7 linked regions of the Xenopus tropicalis genome follow. The protein of the gene in region 3 binds, or shares a complex with, the protein of the main gene of each other region. Links are inferred from orthologs where the notes say so. Each region holds a gene or a part of one and is shown on either strand. Other genes may lie near its edges. The genes, in order: tctn1, cc2d2a, mks1, tmem231, b9d2, tmem216 and tmem237.

Region 1 (3,500 bases), on a different chromosome or scaffold from region 3:
TGAGAATCTGTCCCATGTGGCTTCAACATTAACTCTTAATTTTTAATGCAATAGTAATTTGTATTTATTATTGTAATGGACCACATTTGTTCTATTAATTTACTGTTCTGATGTACAGTGCTGCACACCAGGACTGGCCTTAGTCCAATTAGACCTATTGGGCCCATGGGGGCCCCGCACCAAGTGGAATAAGCACAAAAAGTGGGAACTGCATTCATATTGCTACAGAGTACGCACTGTTTTTTTTTTTTGTATAGTGTGTTTGAGGGACCAATAATCATTGTCTCACACTGTATATAGTATGCTTAGTGTGTCAGTGCCCAGTGCTTGGGGTCCACATTGTGCCATGAACGGTTGGGGGCCAAAGGAACAAGAGAAAGAGAGGTGAAAAGGCAGGGTTAGATCATCAGTCATAGAGCAAGAGGCAGGGACTATTTGCCCACCCAGCCCTGGAACCCTGTGCCAACTGACAACACCTTGTGTAGGGGGCCTGCCAAGATTGTCCCAACTGGTCCCCTATTCCTTTTAAAGCACTGTTTGCTCATATTTGCTTTCATAGCCACAATAATTATTTAGTTAAGAAATAAAAGCGGTACATACAATTGGTTGCTTGGATGCAGAAAATGCTTGGATTAATCTGCTCGACTGTGTTGACAACTCTTTTCGAGGCATTGATCGAGTACTGTACAGTTTCTTGTGTACATAACTGACTGTCTACTCTGGAGGAAAAAAAAATAGATCACAGATAAAAACCAGCTCACATATGGTTTCCCGTATTCTAATCTATTTGAATTGCAAAAAAGTAAACATGCTGCTTAGGACAAACACTAGTGCTAGTAACGGTTGGAAACACAACAGTCAGTGTTTCTGAACTTGCCATCTTAGTGCTAGTGTTCCTCATAAGCAGCAGGTTTCCTATTAAAATGAATGTTACTGGCTGCCAGCAGATACACTACACTTCTGAATTTATAGGGTGTGGCAATCAAAAGCCCTATGTTACATAGGGTGAGATAGTGAAACACAAGTGTATGGGAAGTGTAAGAATAATGGAGGCTGGCAGCTGGAGGTGACAGACAGCGCTATTTAAAAAAAAAAAAGGCATACTGAAAAGATCTAGTATTAAATTCACTATTAGATAGTGTATGCCAGTATCCATTTAATCAAGCATTGTTGGCAGAGATGGGAGGATATATGCATATTTTCTGATGGCAGAAGGAGGTAGCTGTATTTGTATGCACTGGAACAGAAGCATTAAAAATTACTAAATAAAGAGTAATTGGGGTTACTGAAGAAACTGTCCCCTCACAAATCTGCATATTTGTCCCAAATGATCTAATCACCCAATCAAAATCCATTTGGAATTCTGAAGGGATGCCTGCCAAAAACTGTTCTTTTGCATAACGAATAGAAATGCAATTCAAAGCAAGTTTCCAATATACATGAGCAATTTCTTTTTCACTGATTATTTTTAAATATATTTGTGACTGAAAGCATTGTTTTTGTACTCATGACTAGTTCTGACTCTTGAAACGATGTAGCAGAATTCAGTCAGGAACATAGATTCACTAGGAATCACATTTAAGTTGCTCAGAATTACATTTTCATTCATTATGCAAACCATTTAAACAGATCTAATCAGGCATAATGGAACATCAGTGCATTTGATGAACAATTCAATTGGTGTATGCAGTTATCAGTCACTTAAGTGTGGGTCCACAATGATCTTAGGCTGATGCCACATAGGGCTGATTCTCGGCCTGTAAAAAAACACATGCCGAGAATCAGCCCGTCCACTGGCATCAGCCTCCTATCTTGCCTGCACCTGGAAGCATTGTGTTGGCCTGGGTGCAGGCACATGCGGCAGATATTGGCTCAAAATGCGAACTCTTCCGTTTCTTTGCTGATATCCAAAGCATGTACCTGCACCTGGGCCAACACAATGGTTCCAGGCACAGGCAAGATAAGAGGCTATTGCCAGGGGAGGAGCGGATTCTTGGCCTGCATTTTTCCACAGGCCAAGAATCAGCCCCATATGGCATCAGCCTTAAGAATTTACATCCACAGGCACAGTGGGTAACATGCACATTTCCCTGCGCCTATCTATGCAGAGAAATCCCAGACCAGGTCATGCCCTGCCTCAACTGCTCCAAAAGAACAGGTCGCACACATCACTTGCACACAGAATAGGTCACACACATCACCAGAAATGACACGCCAGGAATGATGCCAGACAGACTTCAAAAATATTTAGCGCTCCAAATTGCACTTTGCTCACTGTACTTGTGCACACAAATGAGCCTTCTTCTAACTGCCAAAAAACTGAATCTGTACAACATTTGGAAATGAAATTTGTGCTCAGTGAAGTAATACATTGAAATACAATACTGCCATCTTGTGGTTAAAATGAAACAAAATCTATAGGGATGCACCACTTAAATTGCACTGCGCATTTGCCTGTTAACATCATCAGGTGAATTTGCTGTATCATGAGATACCTAGGGATGCACTACAATCATGCAGGACATTTTTGTTTAATTCTGCCATTAATTTGGGCAGTGAGTTGGTAGTGGCTTAAAAAGAGAAGTGTGGCTATTCCTCACTCAGCTTCACTACAGCACAGATTTCCCCATATCATTCAAAGCCAATAGGACTTAATTTAGACAGCTTGGAAATAGCACTAGCACTGATATATGTGTCACTTTAATGCAAAATATTAGCCCCTCCCCCTTGGGTCGGTGTTCCTGTTAGGGAGAAAACTGCACCAACTAATGGAAAAGATACCTAAGTGCTGCACCAGCATCTCAGTATCTTCTTTCTTTTATCCTTGGGCACTTGGGTACTTGTGCATTTGTAGCAGAGTAGCTCTGCCGGATTTACTTTACGGCATATCTCCCAACATTTGCAAAAAGTGCATCTGTAGCTTGTTAAGATTTCTGGGCTCTCTGCCAAAAGCTAAATTTGAGAAACATTGTATCTTTTTTAGTGTTCCGGGACTACGGCTGAGCTGTTAAAAGAGGGACTGTCCTACAAAAATTGGGACAGTTGGGAGGTATGCTTTGCTGTATGTGCGGGAACAGGGAGTTTCGCAAAGATATTTACGTGACAACAGGAATGGAACATCCAGAAAATAAACTGAAGTCAGAGGTACTGCAGTCAGGGTCACAGCAACAGTTGACATCACACTGGCCCACAAGCAGGTCGCAAACACACAGACTGGCAACTTGATAAGCAAAGAAAAAAAAACAACAAATGCGTTACGGTTAGGGATAAAATGCTGATATTTAACTAACAAATGTATCTTAAAGAGATACTGGCACCAGAAATTAAATTGTTTTTAAAAATATTATAACATTGTCTTTGCATGAGCTTTATAATTTTGCCTTAATTGTATCTGTCTAATGCTGCCATATTTGTGCTGCAATAGTCCATTAGCATTAGAAACTATAACTGACAGGTTGAGAGGGGACAGTCAGGTTGGCAAAAAAGTCAGATTTAGGTAC
Region 2 (2,211 bases), on a different chromosome or scaffold from region 3:
ATATATATATATATATATATATATATATATATATATATATATATGTATATATATCTACTGTACATAAATACATATGGTGCATACATACATGGGAAATATCCTGTCACTGAGAGATGATGACATCCCTGTGCCGGTATTACTCTTAATTCAGCCAACAGAGCCCAAACTTATTTCCCCCCAATGAACTCTATATACCGGTAATTAGCTAGAGTAGCACTTAATTTACCCTCTGCACATTATAGAAAAAGGCACAAATGCCCCCCTGTGCTGCAGTGGATAGGATAGGTGCATGTACGGTATGAGTATTAAAGGGTAACTAAGTTTATGGCTAAGATTTATAGTAGTGCATAAAGTTTCTCTACCATTACCTATGGCCTACTGTACTGTACATGCAAGTCACAGTCCCACATTCAGCTGCAGCCCCCTCTCTCCCCCAGTGCCAGTGGGAAGCAGATAAGCACAGTAGGGCCCCAGACTGCAGGGTACACACATTCAGCTGCAGCCCCCTCTCTCCCCCAGTGCCAGTGGGATGCAGATAAGCACAGTAGGGCCCCAGACTGCAGGTTACAGTTGCACATACACATCATTGTACTGTAACAAGAATAAGTCACATACCTGTCTTGCAGTTCAGCGGCCGCTGCCTTGTCTATACGCTGGTACATCAGCTCCTCTGGCTACAAAAAGCAAATGGGCAGTTTTAATTGACAAGGAAGAAACCAATTTACAGCACCTGATTGTGGAACCGGCACAACCCACAGGTGCCCACATCCCCCAGCAAACACCAGATGCCGACTCATCCTATCCTGATAGCAGTAGCAGTTACACAGCCAGGGAATTGGACCATATTGCTCCTTTTTGACACTGAATATAAATGATAAAGGATACAAAAGGGGATTTGTCCTATCCTAGTAGTACAGGGACAAAAGGGTTAACACGCTAGCAGGAGGCAGGCTAATTGAAGAACTGAAAGAGATCCACCCCTTTGGTCCTCCTCTTCCCTGCATTAACCCCTCCTCCAACAGTTCCCATGAGATGTATGTAGGTAGGTAAGTAGAAGCAGGGAGTGAGGGTGGGGGCTACCTGTGCTGCCGTGATGGGACAATGAGAAAAGGATTTATGAGTAAGTATTACTAATCCCCTTTTCTCGGGCAGTACCTAGCCAGCACAGGGACAGATGGGTTAGTCCCAGAGCAGGGATAAAAGGGTGGGATATTATCAAGAAGTTAAGAGGTGCAGGCCTCTAACATGGCAGGTAACAGTTCTTAGTGTGCGGTTACTCCAGGTTGGAGTATGTTGAACTTGTAGCACTGTGTGCATGTGTGTAGGGAGGGCTGTGTTGCTGTTTTGCGCAGTTGGGCTGCTAAGGCACTGTTTAGGAGTGCCGAGTGTGCAGTGACGGGAATGGTTGAGTTGGGATACCCTGGTGATGAGTTGGGATACCCTGGTGATGAGTTGGGATACCCTGGTGATGAGTTGGGATACCCTGGTGATGAGTTGGGATACCCTGGTGATGAGTTGGGATACCCTGGTGATGAGTTGGGATACCCTTGTGATGAGTTGGGATACCCTTGTGATGAGTTGGGATACCCTTGTGATGAGTTGGGATACCCTTGTGATGAGTTGGGATACCCTTGTGATGAGTGATTTTATCCACTGGTATATTTGGAGGCCTTAGCCCCTCTGTGGGCTGGACCATAGAGTACAAATAGTGAGCCTCATTTCCTGAAATTGCCTGTACCAGGGATGTAAAATTTTAGTGCTCATGCGATGTCTAGGTTATGGGGGAGGCACAACGTCCTGGAAGTAGGTGTTGGGCAGAGAGATTAAATAGCAGCCAGAGAGAAGGCGAAAGGGGCCCCAGTCACTAAGGCTTACAATCTAAATGTGAATAAATGAGGCAGAGCAAGCAATCAATACCTGAACACTCGAGAGCCCAGGATGAGGGTAACTTCTGGAAAAGAATGGTTTCCACATATTGGTCCTGCTTGTGTCAAAGGTCATACTCACTGGTGCGTCGTACTGCTGCGTGTTAAACCAAATCTAACAGACAGAAATATTCATCAAACTGAAGGATTCACAACTCCCCACAGCACACATATAGAGTTTGTTAGCACTTCAGTCTCGGGCAAATAAAGTCACTTGCTTGCTTAAGGGCTCTGGCACACGGGGAGATAAGTCGCCCGGGACAAATCTCCCTGTTCGCGGGCGACT
Region 3 (4,278 bases):
ATTGCCTTTAAAAGAGAAAGGTTTAATCGCTAGGGGTACCAAATTGAAGGCACCTCCAGTAATTGTAATCACTTACCCAATACCACAGGCTGGACATCCTGTTAGCAGAAAACTGCACCGGCTGGGGGTACATCTTCAAAATCTGGGGCTGATGCATGCACACTAGAGTGAAAAGTTGAACTTTAACAAAAAGAAATCCGTCATTTTCACTCTACTGTGCATACGGCAGCCCCAGATTTTGAAGAAAGAAGAAGATAAGAAGAGAAACGCTTACTCACATGTACCCCGAGCTGGTGCAGTTTTCTGCTAACAGGAGCACAAGTCTGGGGTATCATGTAAGTGATTACAATCACTCACTAACATTTGGCACCCCTCCCTGATTGAACCTTTCCTTCTCCTTTAATATAATGTTCAACTGTGCATTTAATTGCATATTCTGTAAGTTCTAGAATAGGAACCCCATATTCCTGCTGTTGCATTAACAGAACAAATCACTAAAAAGGCTCCAGACAATAAGGCATTAAATGTACCAGCATCACTTTTCATAAGGGACCAAAATTTGTAACTTTACTTATAAAGCACCAATTAACATATATGAGATATAGATTGCCTTTAAGCAGCTTACCAGCTGTTTTAGTAACCTGCATTAGATGTGCTATTCATATAGGAAAATATATAAAAATAAATTTGAATTCAGTACTAGGCCACTTACAATTATTTGCTATGGGCTAGTGGGAAGAGAAGGCCAACAAAAGAAATTACCTGGCTATAAAGTTTCTCCTGCCAAGAAATCACCACTTCTTCCTTCTCCTCATTAGGATGAGGCCCCCCTTAAAAGACAAGATCATGACAATTAGGACAACAAAAATAATAAAAACAAAAATGCACAAAATTTGTTAATGTACTAAAGGCTTCTACTTTGTATAGTAGTAGAAACAAGATAAAACATAGTTCTTTCAGACAGATCTTGCAATTGGAGAATTCAGTTATAGTTTCAGGCATAAAGCAGAGCAAGCCATTTTTGGCAGGGAAAGAATTATACATAGCCACAGGAATATCGCCAGGATACTTATATCTGAATAGAAGCCTATCTAGGTGCATGTATTCATACTACATGCAATACTCTTCCAGTTCAGGAATGTGAAGCAAAGAGTCACTGAATGTGAGAAATCCTTGCTCGCTGTTGCCCATTTACACATTCTCTTCTCTGCTGCCTACAGACAGTCAACGTACAACTCACCCCACAGATCACCTTGTACCTGACTCTGTGTTCACAGCTCAGCCTACCTTTTCACCCTACAGACAGCTTGCAGCCAGACACAGCTCACCCTACCCTTCATAGAAATCCAGTAAATTATCCAAATGGCACTTAATACAGCAATGTGCAAACGTAGTTTTATTGGCAATCAAGGCAAATGTTTTAGGGCAACTCTCTTCTTCAAGTGCTAAAAAGTAGTGGAAATACCAAAAAGAGCGCCATACATATATTTACTACAATTTTGCTCCATGCACAGTATTTGGTTTTGTCCTGGATTAAATTTGCCCCTACCCCTCACCCTACAGCCAGCCTGCACCCAGGCACAGCTCACCCTACAACCAGCCTGCGCCCAGACACAGCTCACCCTACAGCTAGCCTGCGCCCAGGCACAGATCACCCTACAGCCAGCCTGCGCCCAGGAAAAGCTCACCCTACAGCCAGCCTGCGCCCAGGCACAGCTCACCCTACAGCCAGCCTGCGCCCAGGCACAGCTCACCCTACAGCCAGCCTGCGCCCAGGCACAGCTCACCCTACAGCCAGCCTGCGCCCAGGCACAGCTCACCCTACAGCCAGCCTGCGCCCAGGCACAGCTCACCCTACAGCCAGCCTGCGCCCAGGCACAGCTCACCCTACAGCCAGCCTGCGCCCAGGCACAGCTCACCCTACAGCCAGCCTGCGCCCAGGCACAGCTCACCCTACAGCCAGCCTGCGCCCAGGCACAGCTCACCCTACAGCCAGCCTGCGCCCAGGCACAGCTCACCCTACAGCCAGCCTGCGCCCAGGCACAGCTCACCCTACAGCCAGCCTGCGCCCAGGCACAGCTCACCCTACAGCCAGCCTGCGCCCAGGCACAGCTCACCCTACAGCCAGCCTGCGCCCAGGCACAGCTCACCCTACAGCCAGCCTGCGCCCAGGCACAGCTCACCCTACAGCCAGCCTGCGCCCAGGCACAGCTCACCCTACAGCCAGCCTGCGCCCAGGCACAGCTCACCCTACAGCCAGCCTGCGCCCAGGCACAGCTCACCCTACAGCCAGCCTGCGCCCAGGCACAGCTCACCCTACAGCCAGCCTGCGCCCAGGCACCATGCAGCCTTAAAAATGAAAGGGAAACACACAATATGGCCGGATCACTCACTGTTCGCCTCTGGGTTGTTGTGCAGCGCCTGTAGTTCGAGTCCTCCTCTATTTGCATCCTCCTCCTGCACCCGCTGTACCAGAGCAATGGCCGGGGTAACCCGCTGCAGAGTCACTCTGAAGACAAATAAGACACTGAGTAACTAGCGCTCCACATGCGAGTAGGGCTGCGAACAACAATAACCCCTTGACACTCACCGAATCCTCAGATTCTTTATGGGGTCCCGGGATCTGTACACTGCCTCCCCAACATCCTGATTCCAGTCTTCCGCCATATTTCAGAAAAGCGCGTCGCAATTGCCTAGGCAACCGAATCGGCAACTCTAATTGGCCACCACGTAACGCGTAGCAGCCGAGATTTAGCGGCGCACTGTAACCTACCGCTGATATCCGTGCGTCATGTCACTGCGCGACTGAGGCTACAAATAGCAAGCGCGATGTGCGTCTAATAGTTTGGGAGCCATAACAGTCCATGTGTCTTGCAAATCTTTTAATATGCGTTAAAATACCTCCAATAATCCAGCTCCTTAAATCAGACAGGTGAATTAGATATCGCCAGTCTGATCTCGCGAGAATGTGACGTCACACCACACAGCTATATATACAGCGTACCTCGGTTATTTCACTACGTGATGCAGTTAAAAACATGGGCTTGCTGTTCGCGGCTTTTATTTTATGTTATATTTATTAATTTTTACTACTAGTCATTTTTCCCGCTCGCACTTTTAATACTTTTGCTGAGGTTACTCTGCTCCTGATATTTAGCCAATAGTGCAGGTCGCTGTATGTGAGGATTCGGGCCATGCTCTTCTCAGTTCAGGGACTTATTTAGCAAATAAAATGGGTGATACGTACCAGCCCTAATCTTTTAGGCTTTTTTTCATGTTGGTATCACAGTAATTGTTAACTCTGGTCTAAGGTTATGTTTTTTGGAAAGTCACGTTTATGTGAAAATTGAGACCATGTTTTTGACAATCTAGGGCTAAAAAGAGTCATTTTTGAGAATAGAATGGGTGAATTACGTGGACAGCATTGGTGTCTGAGGGGCCTAGTGTTTTTGTGAAGACAGACCATATTTTTTAGTTTGGAGACAGAACCAAGGGCTAATTTAGTAAGACTATGGGTCAATTTGACCAAATGGTCAAAGGTTTAGGGTTTATTTTTTTGGTGGTATAAGAGGATCCCAATGTTTGATGTGCAAATTAGGGAAATAATTTTCACAAATTTGTGCCTAAAAGGTTTAGTTATGAGAATATAATGGGTAAAATATATATTTTAGGCTCTTTTTATCAGAGGGTGTCTGGTTTTGTGTAAATAAGGGCTGGATTTCGGTAAAAGGGTGAAATTAACCAAAATAAATAATTTACATTCACTCTGGTCGTAACTTAAAAGTGTGCAGGTTTCCTGTCAGTTCTGCCGCAGAAGGTTCTGGGCCCCAAAAGGGTATTGGTAAGGAGCAGTGCTGGCAGGGGGTTTTCCTGTTTCATGGGGGAGATAAAGAATATATTGGTGAAATATACCATCAGTAATCTGTAGTTGTTAGGCTTTTTTCACAGTGGCATCAGAGGGTCCCAGTATATTTTTAGGTATGGCTACTAGCTTTTTCACAATTTATGAACAGACCAATGGCTAATTTAGGACAAGAAAATGGGTAAACTTGACCAAAACCAATTGAGAGTTTATAGGCTTTTTTTAATCTTTTTTATTTTGGTACTAGAGGATTCCAGTGTTTTAGGTGACAATTTATGGACAAAAAGGGCTAATATAGGAGAAGGTTGTAGTGAGTGACCATCAGAGGGTTCTGATGCTTTTCATGCAAAAGAGGGCGGGAAAAATGAAGTGATCCTTATGTTTTTATTCTGGCAACAGACGACTCTTTATATCAG
Region 4 (2,737 bases), on a different chromosome or scaffold from region 3:
GATAAAGCTTACTTAGTTTTTATCTTTCCTTCTCCTTTAAAGGGGACCTGTCATCGTAAGAAATAATTCCAAATTATTTTCTATCAGATTAGTCAAGCATAATAAACTTTACTTACACAATATAATTATTGTAATTAATTATTTAATTATTTAAATCCTGTTTCCTTCAGTCTTTACACAGTCTTTACACAACTACAGCAAGCAGCCAGGTGCTATTTTAGTAAGGAAAGCTTCGCTTCAACAACAAAATCTTGTTTATGTGCCAGAATGGGGGACCTGATGCCCATGCCCATGCACTGGCTACACAGTTAGATGGTGAGGAGGGAGGGGGAAAGTGATGAGGGTGGCAGTGACATCTACGAAGTGCTGAATGGAAAGTGAAAGTAATTGTCTGCCCCACCTCTATGCCTAATACAATATATGATTTACAGCTGGAATTTTTAAATGCCTTTATAATGGGTTTGGATGTGTTAATAAAAAAAGGAATTTGGATTTTATGTTTCATTTTAACAGGACTTTTATTATACAGCTTTTTATGTTTGGGTGACAGGTCCCCTTTAATAAAAATGAAATATTCAGTTAATAATAACTGAAATATTTGGGAAGACTGAGATATTTTGCAAAACAATTTCTAGCTTCCACAAAAAAATGACTAGGAGCGAAGAAATTTAAGATGGAGTGGTACCAGTAGTATACGGCAATCCAATGTACTGCCAGTGCCACTGGATTTTTAAACCAACACTCTCTTCAGAAAGAAGGAAATATTACCAAAGGAAGTACATTTAGGTTCATTTTTCCAAGAAGATATTATTAAAACATAGCATTAAATGTATGGGCTGTTGAGGCAAGCTTTCACCTCTTGCTTAATTACAACCCTTAGAATTCGCTTAGTGTTATTTGCATGTTTTGTGGGAGTTGAAGTTTATCAGTAACACGTCTGAAATTCCTGCTGTAATAATTCCAACATAGCAAATAGGTTTCCTCTCATGTTCCTGAAAATCCACTTCTTTATCACAGTAAAGAAAGAGAAGTTATTAGAAGTCTTAAGGCCTCAAAAGGCATACCCAAGATCCAGTTTATCATATGGGGTTGGTTATCAGCTCTGATGACTTTTATACAATGATGGTATTGGGCCTGGTACTGTAGTCAAAACTTGATTTTGAAAAACAAATATTTTAATTCTCTCAAATACCCAAAGGAAAATGAGAAGGATACTGACATACTGAATCCATGCATATTTTAGCATTTCCCAGAATCCAGGCACATATGTGGATAATGTTAAGGAATCTTCAAAAGGGACATGTGGCACTAATATTGAAAACAGTAAACAAAATCCCAGGAAATAGAAATCAGAAATAGCCCAAGCACCGGATATAAAAGTAATAGTTTTCTTAATACTTGTAGGCATATGAAATACTCTAGAAGCTGTGCATATGCACAAAGAATTATACTTTTCAAACTTGTACAAGAGTTAAAGGATATGATATTGATTCCACGGGATACCGGATAACAGCTTTTATTACAAATGGATCAGAAGCAGCTCTCCCAACAATCCACAGGGGGTTTGGGGCATTCAGAACTGTGGTCACTGCAACCAGATAACATTAAAAAGTTAACAAACACAAAAAGATGCCTAATACTTTAAGGTAAATAATAACAACTATAATAATGCATAAAATATAAAAATATCTCACAAATCTCTCACAAAACAAACAAATCTGTTGCCAAAAATGATGTTGCCGAAATTTATGTCTATTCTGTATACATACACACAAACACTACAAATATAATGAATATATATATATATATTTTTTTTTATTATTATAACGTTTAATTATGTTTCACATTTGACATACAGCCCCTTTTCTACCCTTTTGTGTTCAAAGCCTCAGGGTTACAACTGTCCTTGTCCACCATACTCTAAGCACTGACCATTTAGCATTGGCTCCCATAATACAGAGCAGTTTAAGATTTCCCGTTAGGCTTGCAAACTCTTCCATTTAAACCAGCACACATATTTATTATCTTACAGTGAATGGTTCGTCAGCAGCTAAGAACAGTTAATGTGCCATTCAGCATGGTAGGGGTCATTTACAACTGCTAGTACAGCAGCAATGCCGCTAATTTCCTTGCAGTAAGTTGCATGAGAAAATTGGGTAAGAAGGTACTTGCTTAGAAAGGTACTTTTTGCACTTCCATATGTTGCTTGGCACTGCTCAATTCTTCCTGCCCAAATCAATTGGCACAGACAGTTATGCCAAAATAGGTGGCACATGTCACTCACACATGCCAAACATTATGGAATATAAATTGTGTGTGGGTGATGTGTTCAACAGTGTTTATGTTCATCTAAAATCTGATCAGTATATACCCTAGTGCTTTTAATGTCCAGTGGATTGGGCAACTTCATAAAAATGTATAGCTATAGATTTTAATATATTTCACATACATTCATTCTCCCAAAAGGCCACACATATACAGTAGTGCATTGTCCATCAAGGAGCAAATAAACTACTAGACAGGGCAAGAGGGATACGTGCTCTAAGCTACTAGTATTAAACATATGAAATCTATTATTTTTAATGCTTAACTTCTGAGATTATCTAGATAAAAGGTCTTTTAATAAAATTAAGCACCATGCTTTAAGAAAGGAATGAGAGAGACATTTATGCTAGCTTATTTAACATCAATTACTAGCAACTGTCATAATTTTAGAGAGAAAAAGTAAATACGTTAC
Region 5 (4,150 bases), on a different chromosome or scaffold from region 3:
ACTGATTTAAGATAATCGTCAAAAGAGCCTGAAAAGTATTTAAAAACAAAAACATTCAATTTACTTTATATATAAATGTATTCTGGTAAGTGATTGATGTGAATGAGGTATTATGAAAATGAAAGGAGAGAAAGGGAGTGTGCTTTATAACAGGGCTGAAAACAAAGCAAGGATAGTAAAAAAGTGATACAATGAGGAAAATGGCTAATATCAGAAGTAACAGACAATTTGGGAAAGTGTAAGAGATGTTAGTAGAAGGGGAGGAGGATAAATGTTACCAGATTATGGTACAGAAGAGATATGAAGTATCAGGTTTATTAAGAAGGGTTGAGAAAAGGGGCTCATTAAATACTGAGCAGGATTCTGTTTGAGGTGTTCACAAGTAATTCCATAAAATGTCTTGCTGATTATTTCAGTGCATATGTCCTTGGCACCAAAAATAATCATTTGGAAAACCAGGAACAAGTTCTTAGCACTCTGCAAAATCAAGAACACTCCACCCCGTATCGTTCAAAGTTCCTGAGTATGACCGTTAATTGGAGATGTACTTGCCCCATGGCCACTGTTTGCAGACGGTAGCGATCAGACCCTCCATAAATCAGGCTGGATGACTTAAGTTGTGGGCCGCCGCCAACAAACATCTGACATATTTGCTCCTGCCATGTTCCCAGGGGTCGCCAGGTTGGGCTAAGCAATGAGTGAGTACCAGGGGTGGAAGGGATGTGGAGGAAGCTGTAACCATAAAGTTCATTACGACCAAATGTGTCCTGATGCCAGACTTGAAGGTGAAGTTTTGGCCAACCTAAGTGGGGGAAATACAAGCATTTAAAGTACATAATGTACTTTGCACCTTTGGTAGGTAAAGTGTGTTCATTTGAATGGGTAGGGTTAGGGTTGGGAGCCTGTGCAGGGGCTCCAATGTGATTACAATAATTTTAACAGATTCTTTATTTTATTCTTTATTCTATCATACTTTACCTTGTAATCCTTTAGTAGCAAAGTGCATGTCAATAGGGTGAGACCAGAATGCCATGTCATCATTTTGTGGATGATCTACTTGTGTCTGGCCTTCCACAACCCCAGAAAGTAGCTTCCAGGCTCCACCTAAATGTTATGGTAGGGAACGATGTTATTACAAATAGAAATATCATATGGTTAATAATAGATAGAGCCACACCAGTATCTTATATATCAAGATTTTCTCAAAACATTAACATTTCCTTTAAGACTCTTTTATATTGTTTATGTAAAGTAAAGCCAAAAATGGGCTTTAAGTTATACAAACACAGCCTTCTCCTTCACTTCACATTACTAGAATAAATACAGGGGTCACCTGACGCATATATTTCTTCTTCACATCACAAACTTAAAAATATATTACAGGTATAGGACCCATTATTCAGAATGCTCGGGACCAAGGGTAATTTGGATCTCCATAGCTTAAATCTACTAAAGAATCAATAAAACATTAATTAAACCCTATGGGATTGTTTTGCATCCAATAAGGATTATTTATATCTTAGTTGGGATCAATTACAAGGTATTGTTTTATTACTACAGCGAAAAAGGAAATCTGTTTTAAAATTCTGAATTATTTGATTAAAATGGAGTCTATGGGAGACGGGCATTCCATAATTCAGAACTTTCTGGATAACGGGTTTCCGTATAAGGAATCCCATACCTGTACTAGAATAAAAGTGGGGCCAACTGAATGCATATACCACATTTTCAACAGCGTACAGCTCCACAAAAAAACAAAACTGTGTTTTTTTTATGTACAATTGATATATAGATCCATTTAAAATGCAAAATGATGACTCTTACCTGTGTGTACTCCCCATTTGCAAAACAGGCTGTGTTGGGGGAAGCCACTAGCCCCAATAATTTGCCCTATGATGTGAACCTCTGCCATTACTGTAGGAGGAAAGGTAAAATATATTTCAGTTACATCATTATTGTGAAGAAACTAAATTATAATTTTTATTAGAAGTAGGTCCAACAAACAATAACAGCTAGAAATTACACTTCTTATACCATCTGACGCCAATATAAATATACAAGCCTCAGTGACCAAGTTTTCCTTTTTTTCTTGGCTGTGTGTGCAAAAACTTTCTTTTGTGCCTACTTCCTAAACCTATTTGAGCACTTTTATAAAAACTATGCGCAAGTCTAAAAAAATTCTAAATTATGCCTTTACATACAAAATTCTTTTTGCGCACCACAATTTATTACAGTAAAACTTTATTTTTCATCCCTTACTTAGGTTTTTTTATTTTGTGGTCCCTCCAAAATATAATGATTAATACATTTCAAGGATATGACATCCCCCATTATTTTCTAGTGGCCTCAATAATGTAAAAGGGCGGTTCTAATGCATGTGCCCTGACATCGTAATTTAAATATCCACAAATGCATAGCTTAGAAGGAACATTAGTATTACATATACATTTTATTTATTACCTACTTTTAGCGCAGTGTTATTACTACGTATATTATTAGTATATGTAGCTAACCCCCAGCAATAAGCCCTGTAAGACGTGGCATGTCATAACCAAACTGTTCATTACACATCCAATAAAACCAATTTGAAAGCATAATTTTATTTGTCATTACCGCATAGTGTATTACATATGTAACTAACCAGGTCAATGACCAACATCAAGCAAAAAAAACCTACTTATACCTGCACAAGTTGGGCTGTAATGTAATTCATGAGTGTGGCTATTCATGTACAGTGAATTTCATAACTACATAGAACACTGACAGTGAAGGCACTATAGAATCAACAAATAGAATCCCTAAACTGAGGGCCCTACAGCTTACACTTACAGAATCAGCCAAGAGCCTCTGTTTGTCAACTATCAGCTGCTGGAAAACGTAATACCCCCATTACACTCCCTACACTGGCGCCATTGTGTGTGCTATGAGCATATAAATTACTGACGATACATATTTGGATGATGGTGCAAAATCATCAGGACTCCATACCGACAACCTGCGAATCATATCTACCTTTGCGTATATAACACCGCAGTAGGGTAAGATGTAAGCGCTTTACCAGTTTATTAGCTCTAAATATTTTTCGCCCTCTTTTACATCCCGCTATAAATGCTTCCCCTAACCGCACAACTGCAACATAAATCTCACCGGACCCCCTCTGAAAACCGGCTCCTTGTCTTAGCTTTTTGCCCCTTCTAATTCTCACTTTGGTAGACTCCGCCTGTTGCTGTGCAACCGTTGCATACAGCAGATCTGATTGGTTCACCGGCGGAAGTGACGTCTGTTGTAGGCGAAATGTGTAAACTGATCGAGACTGATAGTCTGTGGGAGACGAAGTATTGGGATTAAACGATAGCTATTAATACTGCAATCTGTGATTTATAATACAACATAGTGTAATGGAACGTTGCTTAAACAGATATAGGGCGTCGTGTCGTGTCGGGTTCTGAGGCATTACGTATACAAGAGACATATTAGCGTCCATTTAAAGTTCAGCAAGTTAGTGGCTGAGGGGGGTGTAATGAGAATTAGCATGGCCATGCTGAAAATGCGTTTGTCTGCTCCCACTTTGTAGTCACACCCCCAAATGTAAAGCCTTTAAACCAAAAAGAACCCAGCTTTTAAAATGCTGGAAACTTTGAATGGCAGCGTCAGACGAAACGCATTCACTTTTATGACAGACATAGTGGCCAAAATATTTAATTACATTTTAAAAGAAGTAGGGAGATACTTGGATACATGAACGCAGAAGAATTTATTTAGGATATCCCTATCTGAAAAGGTGTCGTTGATCCAATTCATGCAAGAAATACATTAGTATTTTTGTTATAAAAGATTGCTAAAGCTGCTTTACTGCAAGACAAGCTGGTAATGAGCCAATTTTTGCGGAACATATGCTGTTATTTTAGTGTCTTTAAAAGATCCTGTCTGTTGCTTCACAAGATAACTGTTTGCCCCATTTTACCCCTTTCTCATTGAGTGATTTATTCTGCATGCTCAGTATGCATTTCTTATCAGATCTCTCCATTTGTCTCTGCCCATTTCCTTGTAAAAGAGCATTCTTTTGAGAGAGTGCACTGTTACTGACAGGTACAGATAGAGACCAAAAGAAAGATAGGGTACTTGAATACATTGCAGTTCACAATACTAT
Region 6 (3,942 bases), about 140 Mb from region 3:
ATCCCACTCTGAGTATCACTCATGTATTATAGGGATACTGTACCCCCTACTGTAAATGATAAGGATATTAGCAGTCACTGAGGGGTTCTGTGCCCCCCATATAAAGGCACAAGGCTGCAGGCTGAGTTATACAGGGAACTCTGAGTATCACTCATGTATTATAAGGGATACTGTACCCCCTACTGTAAATGATAAGGATATTAGCAGTCACTGAGGGGTTCTGTGCCCCCCATATAAAGGCACAAGGCTGCAGGCTGAGTTATACAGGGAACTCTGAGTATCACTCATGTATTATAGGGATACTGTACCCCCTACTGTAAATGATAAGGATATTAGCAGTCACTGAGGGGTTCTGTGCCCCCCATATAAAGGCACAAGGCTGCAGGCTGAGTTATACAGGGAACTCTGAGTATCACTCATGTATTATAAGGGATAATGTACCCCCTACTGTAAATGATAAGGATATTAGCAGTCACTGAGGGGTTCTGTGCCCCCCATATAAAGGCACAAGGCTGCAGGCTGAGTTATACAGGGAACTCTGAGTATCACTCATGTATTATAAGGGATAATGTACCCCCTACTGTAAATGATAAGGATATTAGCAGTCACTGAGGGGTTCTGTGCCCCCCATATAAAGGCACAAGGCTGCAGGCTGAGTTATACAGGGAACTCTGAGTATCACTCATGTATTATAAGGGATAATGTACCCCCTACTGTAAATGATAAGGATATTAGCAGTCACTGAGGGGTTCTGTGCCCATATAAAGGCACAAGGCTGCAGGCTGAGTTATACAGGGAACTCTGAGTATCACTCATGTATTATAAGGGATAATGTACCCCCTACTGTAAATGATAAGGATATTAGCAGTCACTGAGGGGTTCTGTGCCCCCCATATAAAGGCACAAGGCTGCAGGCTGAGTTATACAGGGAACTCTGAGTATCACTCATGTATTATAAGGGATAATGTACCCCCTACTGTAAATGATAAGGATATTAGCAGTCACTGAGGGGTTCTGTGCCCCCCATATAAAGGCACAAGGCTGCAGGCTGAGTTATACAGGGAACTCTGAGTATCACTCATGTATTATAAGGGGTAATGTACCCCCATGAATTGTTAAAGGAATATAAGAAGCAGTGGGCGGGGCCAGGCTATACCTGTACAGGTGACTTGGTACCGTCTCACCTATGTAAGTGCCAAGGATACAACTCCGCGCCTTCTCCCTGGGAAGCAAACGCACAGTTAGGGGGCAGCACAAGTCACATGATACCAAGCAGAAGACCCAGTGGGGGCCGGGGGCCCCTCCCAGCACTCAGAGCAGCCATGTTTGGTCTCCCCCTGTAGGTGCCCATAATATACCCACATACCTGCCCGTAATATACCCACCCGCCTGCCCGTAATATATCCACCCGCCTGCCCGTAATATACCCACCCGCCTGCCCGTAATATTCCCACCCGCCTGCCCGTAATATACCCACCTGCCTGCCCGTAATATACCCACCTGCCCGTAATATACCCACCTGCCTGCCCATAATATACCCACCCGCCTGCCCGTAATATTCCCACCCGCCTGCCCGTAATATACCCACCCGCCTGCCCATAATATACCCACCCGCCTGCCCGTAATATTCCCACCCGCCTGCCCGTAATATACCCACCCGCCTGCCCATAATATACCCACATACCTGCCCGTAATATACCCACCCGCCTGCCCGTAATATACCCACCCGCCTGCCCGTAATATACCCACCCGCCTGCCCTCAATATACCCACCCGCCTGCCCGTAATATACCCACCGCTGCCCGTAATATTCCCACCCCCTGCCCGTAATATTACCCACCCGCCTGCCCGTAATATACCCACCCGCCTGCCCGTAATATACCCCAACCCGCCTGCCCGTAATATACCCACATACCTGCCCGTAATATACCCACCCGCCTGCCCGTAATATACCCACCCGCCTGCCCGTAATATACCCACCTGCCTGCCCGTAATATACCCACATACCTGCCCGTAATATACCCACCCGCCTGCCCGTAATATACCCACCCGCCTGCCCGTAATATACCCACATACCTGCCCGTAATATACCAACCCGCCTGCCCGTAATATACCCACCCGCCTGCCCGTAATATACCCACCCGCCTGCCGTAATATACCCACATACCTGCCCGTAATATACCCACCCGCCTGCCCGTAATATTCCCACCCGCCTGCCCGTAATATACCCACCCGCCTGCCCGTAATATACCCACCCGCCTGCCCGTAATATACCCACATACCTGCCCGTAATATACCCACCCGCCTGCCCGTAATATACCCACCTGCCCATAATATACCCACCTGCCCATAATATACCCACTTACCTGCCCATAATATACCCACCTGCCCATAATATACCCACCTGCCCGGGGAATGTGCGCTATTGTGGGTAACAGGGAGAAGTCGCTGCTTCTCTGGGGATGCCGGGAATTGTGGTCTAACAGCCCCCCCCCCCCCCCCCCAGTTGTAGTTGCACACTAGCGGTGCGGGTCCCTATGCAGCAGGTAAGGGGACAGCGTAGCGGCATCGGGTGCAGGGGATGCTGGGAGTTGTAGTCCCGCTGATCAGCTGCACCTCTTGCATAGGGGACACAGTAGCCCCACGCTTACAGGCGCCATTACAGGGAGCAGGGGGGCCGCTCTTCCATCCGCTGCTTCGCCTCCCGCTTACCTTTGGGCGCCATCTTGCTGCTCTAAGGACGCCTGTGACGTCACTCCCTGGAAACCTCCGCAACACGTGACCCCCTGAGCCGCCTGTGCGCCGCGGGGTCCTAGCGCCTTCCCCCCTAACATTCAGGGCCACTAAATAACTGGGACTGGCTGGGCTTCTGGGAACTGTTCAATGGAGAGTGTACCTGCAGCCAAATTAGATTGCTAGCTCCTCTGCCCAGGGAGACAGTAGGGCAAGATGGAGACAGTAGGGCAAGATGGGGACAGTAGGGCAAGATGGGGACAGTAGGGCAAGATGGGGACAGTAGGGCAAGATGGAGACAGTAGGGCAAGATGGGGACAGTAGGGCAAGATGGGGACAGTAGGGCAAGATGGGGACAGTAGGGCAAGATGGAGACAGTAGGGCAAGATGGGGACAGTAGGGCAAGATGGAGACAGTAGGGCAAGATGGAGACAGTAGGGCAAGATGGAGACAGTAGGGCAAGATGGAGACAACCCTTTATAACACTGAAGAGGTTATTCCAAACACAAGAGGCAGTATGAGCACTAATGACTGCACGGGGGGCAGTAGAGGAGCGAGGGTGGGAGAGTTGGGGGCCGATGCTGCTGTCTCTCAGTAGTGATGCGCAGTCGTTATTAATTGGGGCTGAGATGCGAGACCCTCGCTTCAAGAGCCGGATGTTCCCACCCACGGTTTCCTCGTCTCACTGCTACTCACCTAATTATGTTACTCACAGTTACTTCATTATAGAACCCATAGCCCAATAAAGGGTCAACTTCCCCTTTATATTTACTTTTAGTAACACATGGGCGGAGTTACAGGTCACTGATCCCCACCGTGATCCCCACCCTTTTCCCACCCTGTTTCCTTCTTGATCCCCACCTTGATCCCCACCCTGATCCCCACCCTTTTCCCACCCTGATCCCACCATTTTCCCACCCTGATCCCCACCCTTTTCCCACCCTGTTTCCTTCTTGATCCCCACCTTGATCCTCACCCTGATCCCACCCTTTTCCCACCCTGATCCCCACCTTGATCCCACCCTGATCCCACCCTTTTTCCACCCTGATCCCACCATTTTCCCACCCTGATCCCCACCCTTTTCCCACCCTGTTTCCTTCTTGATCCCCACCTTGATCCCCACCTTGATCCCACCCTGATCCCACCCTTTTTCCACCCTGATCCCCACCCTTTTCCCACCCTGATCCCCACCCTTTTCCCACCCTGATCC
Region 7 (3,500 bases), on a different chromosome or scaffold from region 3:
TAAAAAGCCTTTCCCAGTTAATATATTGCAGTGATGACAATTGGTTTTGTAACCTTTAGGGTGAAAACACACAGAGCTACTTAGTAGCAGCTACCAAACACCAGAAGATACCCTGCCATACACAATACTTAGAATTGCCCCTGCTAAAACACACATAGAGACAGTTATCAGTAAATGATCAGCATTGTCTATTTTTGCAGCCATGACAAGTAGTAGCCCTGTGTGGCTTCACCCTTTAGCCTGCTGAAATCTCTACCCAAATTCCATGCCTTCCCCATTGCTGTCCCTGGTAATTTCTCTAGCGCAGGGCTTTAATTCTTGCTTTACATACAGACAAACTCCTTCACCCTTTTTAACTCCTCTGTCCCTCCTAAACAGGGTGTAACCATTTAAATGCACAGCCCAGTCAGGTTCCATCCCACCAAGTCTCTGTGATAACAATTATATCATAATTTGCTATTATTTTCTGCACATGCAATAAACTCCAACTCTTACTGCTTTTCTCTCTGCTGTTTATATTACGTAATGGAGAATTAGCACTATAGATACTATTAGCCTGTTTTGTTTGTAACAGAGGGAACTCCTTAACTGGGAAACTATATGCCACTCCCCCATGACCCCATACTAATCCCACTTCCAGGTCTACACTAACTTCCTCATAATACTCTAGTTCCCCCCTTGACTAGTTTAATAAAATAGTAACACCAAAAAATAAAAATCTTTTAAAGTAATGTTAAATATAAGGTACTATGTGTGTACTATTGTGTAGCCGCAGGGGCAGCCGATGCTGTACCTGTCAATGGGGCTACATGAAAGAGCGAATGACAGGAGATCTGCTTTCCTCCACCTGTGTACAAAAGGCAGACTAAGGAAAGTGGATGACCTGCTTACTGTTCCCTCTGCCCTTAAAGTGATAATGGCATTTTCCTGGTATATATGGAATGTGTCACTATTACTTTCAATTTAAAGATGCAAATTAGGGCTTGAATACAGTTTGGCACATTTTTGTATGAGGATTTGGCACTTCAGCAAATAGAAAAATGATAAGGATTATTCAGTGCATACCTATTTTATTCATCCCACTGCTTCTTTTGCAATAATGTATTAATTTTTTATTTTTTTTTACACTAGGAAAACCCGGTCAGTGGGGCAGGAATTCCCAAATGAACTGGGAGTTGAGGACGAAGACATAATTCCTGATGGACATACAAAGATTCCTGAGCAGAACCCTGCGTTCCTTGCTTCTTCTTTAACTAGCCAGCCAGTCGGGAAATTCTTTGTGGAAAAGAATCGTAAGTGCAGGTCAAGGTCTTGCATGGTTTAGTTTCTGTGTGATTTATTTTTTTGGCTTTTAGGCCACTTAAGGTGTTCATGTGCATTTTGGCCATATGCGTGGATTGGTAGATTGCACTGATCTTTTTGTTGGCACATAAACAGATTAGATGGCTGTGGGTGTATAATTTCCTGAAGAATTGCAGGTTGAAAAACATATGCACCACATAGTAGCCACAAGTTGCATCGTAAGCCAACTTCTGCTACTATGTGAAGCACAGGTAACTCGTATGCTTTCGCATGGGTGATTTACATTGTTGTCAGTATGAAAGCATTTTCAGGACATTAGTCACCTACAGTAGATCAGATTACAGGGCAACTAATCTCATGTACCATAGCCCTAAAATGGCTATACAGTGCTGACAGCTGCCACGAATCACCGGTTTCCCCCTAAGTTTTGCCAGAATGCTTTTTGATATGTAAGTGGGGAATTAATGAGCTCCCCCTTTAATATTTAGGTAGGTTTCAAGCTGCAGATCGCTCTGAAATTATCAAAACAACTGAGCAAACTGATGTTTTCCTTGACGTCAAGCCAACATGGACCAGCATGGATGTATCCCTTACAGCACACCATATCTTTAGGTATAAATACCTTTGTTTAAATGCTTTCAAAATTCAAATCCAGCATGTTTTTGTATTTCTAACTTGTATTTATAATTTGCATTGATTGCAGGATGGTTGGCTTATTTTGCTGTGGATTCCTTGCTGGGTATGCTGTCTGGAATATTGTGGTTGTTTATGTTCTTGCTGGCTCCCAACTGACAAATCTTCCTAATCTGCTTCAAACGTACAAGATCTTGGCCTACCCATCTCAGTGTTTCTTATATTTCCTGTTGGTTCTTAGCACAATTACAGCTTTTGATAGGTAGGTGGGGTTTTTTTTTGTTTTTTATTTTCAAAAAAAGGTCTTTGGAACACTCAAACAAAATATTTCGCCCTTTTTATAAATATTGGCACACATTTAGCTTTCTAGATATATTTTACTGATATCAAATGTAATCTATAAGAACTCCAAACCACTCACATTCACTGATTTACTGATTCCTCTTTGGTTATATGCCCTCCTTTTTGTAACGCTACATTTTAAATGAAAGGGTATTTAGTGCAAGGGCACACTAAGCAGATTGTCTCTATCTAAAACATCTGCGGAGGAAAGCAGATCCACTCTTATGTGCACACCCCTGTAGCTTAATTGAAAGGCCTGTTGTTGACATGTGTGGAGCTACACAGAGTGGATATTGGCACCAAAATGCATAGATTCGCGTTTCTGTACCAAGATTGGCTCTGCGTAGCTCCACACATTGTGATGCTGACCCTGTCAATGAAGCTAAGGGGTTGTGCGCATAAGTGCGGATCCACTTTCCTCCGCCTCTATATAAAACTATAAAATGTCTACAGAGGAAAGCGAACAATCCATTTAGTGTGGTCTTGGGGATTTTTTCTTTTTTTTTTTTTTTTTCTTTCCTCTTTCGAAATCCCATTATCGGTTAGGTGAATAGCTTCTTATTCTCCCCTTTTCTGTTTTTCATTATCTGCTTATTGGTTAGATTAAGCTTGCTTACTGGAGAGTAACTAACTGTGGAGCAGTGGTCACCAACCAGTGTCTCGTCAGCAACATGTTGCTCCCAATGGCTTTAAAGCAGGTTTTCCATTTTGAATTTCTGACTTGAAGACAAGATTTGGTTGCATAGACCATGTGTACTGTCAAGCAGAGCCTCCTGTAGTCTGCCAGTCATCATTGGGCTATAAAATAACCAATCACAGCCCTTATTGGTCACCCCCTAGGAAATGTTTTCATGCTTGCGTTGCTCCCCAACATATTTTACATTTAAATCTTGCTCACAGGTAAAAAAAAAAGGATGGGGCCCCTGTCATAGAGTATTTGTTTTCAACTAAACATAGTTAATAATAGGGTTTAAAGAAGGGCATTTAGAAAGAAAACACATCTGCTCCTCTATTCTGCTTGAGAAATACATGTGGTGATGAAACACGTTATCCTGTACTGATGGGCTTTAAGAATGGCTAAAGTATTTTGTGAGTTTTAGTATCTGTACAAAAGGCAACCTGTGGTATTGATCTTAATCTCTCTCTTAATAATATGCACACAATAGGTGATTTGTTCATGGCTGTGGGAGGTGCAATAAGCAAACTGCCCCTGTTATGTGGAC

What was found.
Region 1: mks1 (region 3) and tctn1 share a complex: the UniProt entries of both Homo sapiens proteins name them as parts of the tectonic-like complex. The link is inferred for Xenopus tropicalis from reciprocal best matches to the Homo sapiens genes MKS1 and TCTN1.
Region 2: mks1 (region 3) and cc2d2a share a complex: the UniProt entries of both Homo sapiens proteins name them as parts of the tectonic-like complex. The link is inferred for Xenopus tropicalis from reciprocal best matches to the Homo sapiens genes MKS1 and CC2D2A.
Region 4: mks1 (region 3) and tmem231 share a complex: the UniProt entries of both Homo sapiens proteins name them as parts of the tectonic-like complex. The link is inferred for Xenopus tropicalis from reciprocal best matches to the Homo sapiens genes MKS1 and TMEM231.
Region 5: mks1 (region 3) and b9d2 share a complex: the UniProt entries of both Homo sapiens proteins name them as parts of the tectonic-like complex. The link is inferred for Xenopus tropicalis from reciprocal best matches to the Homo sapiens genes MKS1 and B9D2.
Region 6: mks1 (region 3) and tmem216 share a complex: the UniProt entries of both Homo sapiens proteins name them as parts of the tectonic-like complex. The link is inferred for Xenopus tropicalis from reciprocal best matches to the Homo sapiens genes MKS1 and TMEM216.
Region 7: mks1 (region 3) and tmem237 share a complex: the UniProt entries of both Homo sapiens proteins name them as parts of the tectonic-like complex. The link is inferred for Xenopus tropicalis from reciprocal best matches to the Homo sapiens genes MKS1 and TMEM237.

The regions. Positions count from the first base shown.
Region 1 is NC_030677.2:162,888,123-162,891,622, reverse strand, and holds part of tctn1 (tectonic-1 precursor), read right to left. Parts: intron 3,221-3,500; coding exon 3,100-3,220; intron 720-3,099; coding exon 601-719; intron 1-600. UniProt on the Homo sapiens protein: Component of the tectonic-like complex, a complex localized at the transition zone of primary cilia and acting as a barrier that prevents diffusion of transmembrane proteins between the cilia and plasma membranes.
Region 2 is NC_030677.2:27,909,883-27,912,093, reverse strand, and holds part of cc2d2a (coiled-coil and C2 domain-containing protein 2A), read right to left. Parts: intron 2,041-2,211; coding exon 1,918-2,040; intron 675-1,917; coding exon 616-674; intron 1-615. UniProt on the Homo sapiens protein: Component of the tectonic-like complex, a complex localized at the transition zone of primary cilia and acting as a barrier that prevents diffusion of transmembrane proteins between the cilia and plasma membranes.
Region 3 is NC_030678.2:41,734,378-41,738,655, reverse strand, and holds the start of mks1 (Meckel syndrome type 1 protein), read right to left. Parts: upstream 2,801-4,278; 5' UTR 2,668-2,800; coding exon 2,591-2,667; intron 2,510-2,590; coding exon 2,394-2,509; intron 831-2,393; coding exon 763-830; intron 1-762. UniProt on the Homo sapiens protein: Component of the tectonic-like complex, a complex localized at the transition zone of primary cilia and acting as a barrier that prevents diffusion of transmembrane proteins between the cilia and plasma membranes.
Region 4 is NC_030680.2:64,234,200-64,236,936, forward strand, and holds the end of tmem231 (transmembrane protein 231), read right to left. Parts: intron 1,589-2,737; coding exon 1,483-1,588; intron 1,269-1,482; coding exon 1,097-1,268; 3' UTR 501-1,096; downstream 1-500. UniProt on the Homo sapiens protein: Transmembrane component of the tectonic-like complex, a complex localized at the transition zone of primary cilia and acting as a barrier that prevents diffusion of transmembrane proteins between the cilia and plasma membranes.
Region 5 is NC_030684.2:79,325,656-79,329,805, forward strand, and holds the start of b9d2 (B9 domain-containing protein 2), read right to left. Parts: upstream 2,801-4,150; 5' UTR 2,730-2,800; coding exon 2,684-2,729; intron 1,915-2,683; coding exon 1,825-1,914; intron 1,105-1,824; coding exon 979-1,104; intron 803-978; coding exon 486-802; 3' UTR 1-485. UniProt on the Homo sapiens protein: Component of the tectonic-like complex, a complex localized at the transition zone of primary cilia and acting as a barrier that prevents diffusion of transmembrane proteins between the cilia and plasma membranes.
Region 6 is NC_030678.2:178,906,072-178,910,013, reverse strand, and holds the start of tmem216 (transmembrane protein 216), read right to left. Parts: upstream 2,801-3,942; 5' UTR 2,725-2,800; coding exon 2,712-2,724; intron 1,223-2,711; coding exon 1,206-1,222; intron 1-1,205. UniProt on the Homo sapiens protein: Part of the tectonic-like complex which is required for tissue-specific ciliogenesis and may regulate ciliary membrane composition.
Region 7 is NC_030685.2:53,792,719-53,796,218, forward strand, and holds part of tmem237 (transmembrane protein 237), read left to right. Parts: intron 1-1,131; coding exon 1,132-1,292; intron 1,293-1,790; coding exon 1,791-1,914; intron 1,915-2,005; coding exon 2,006-2,197; intron 2,198-3,500. UniProt on the Homo sapiens protein: Component of the transition zone in primary cilia. Required for ciliogenesis.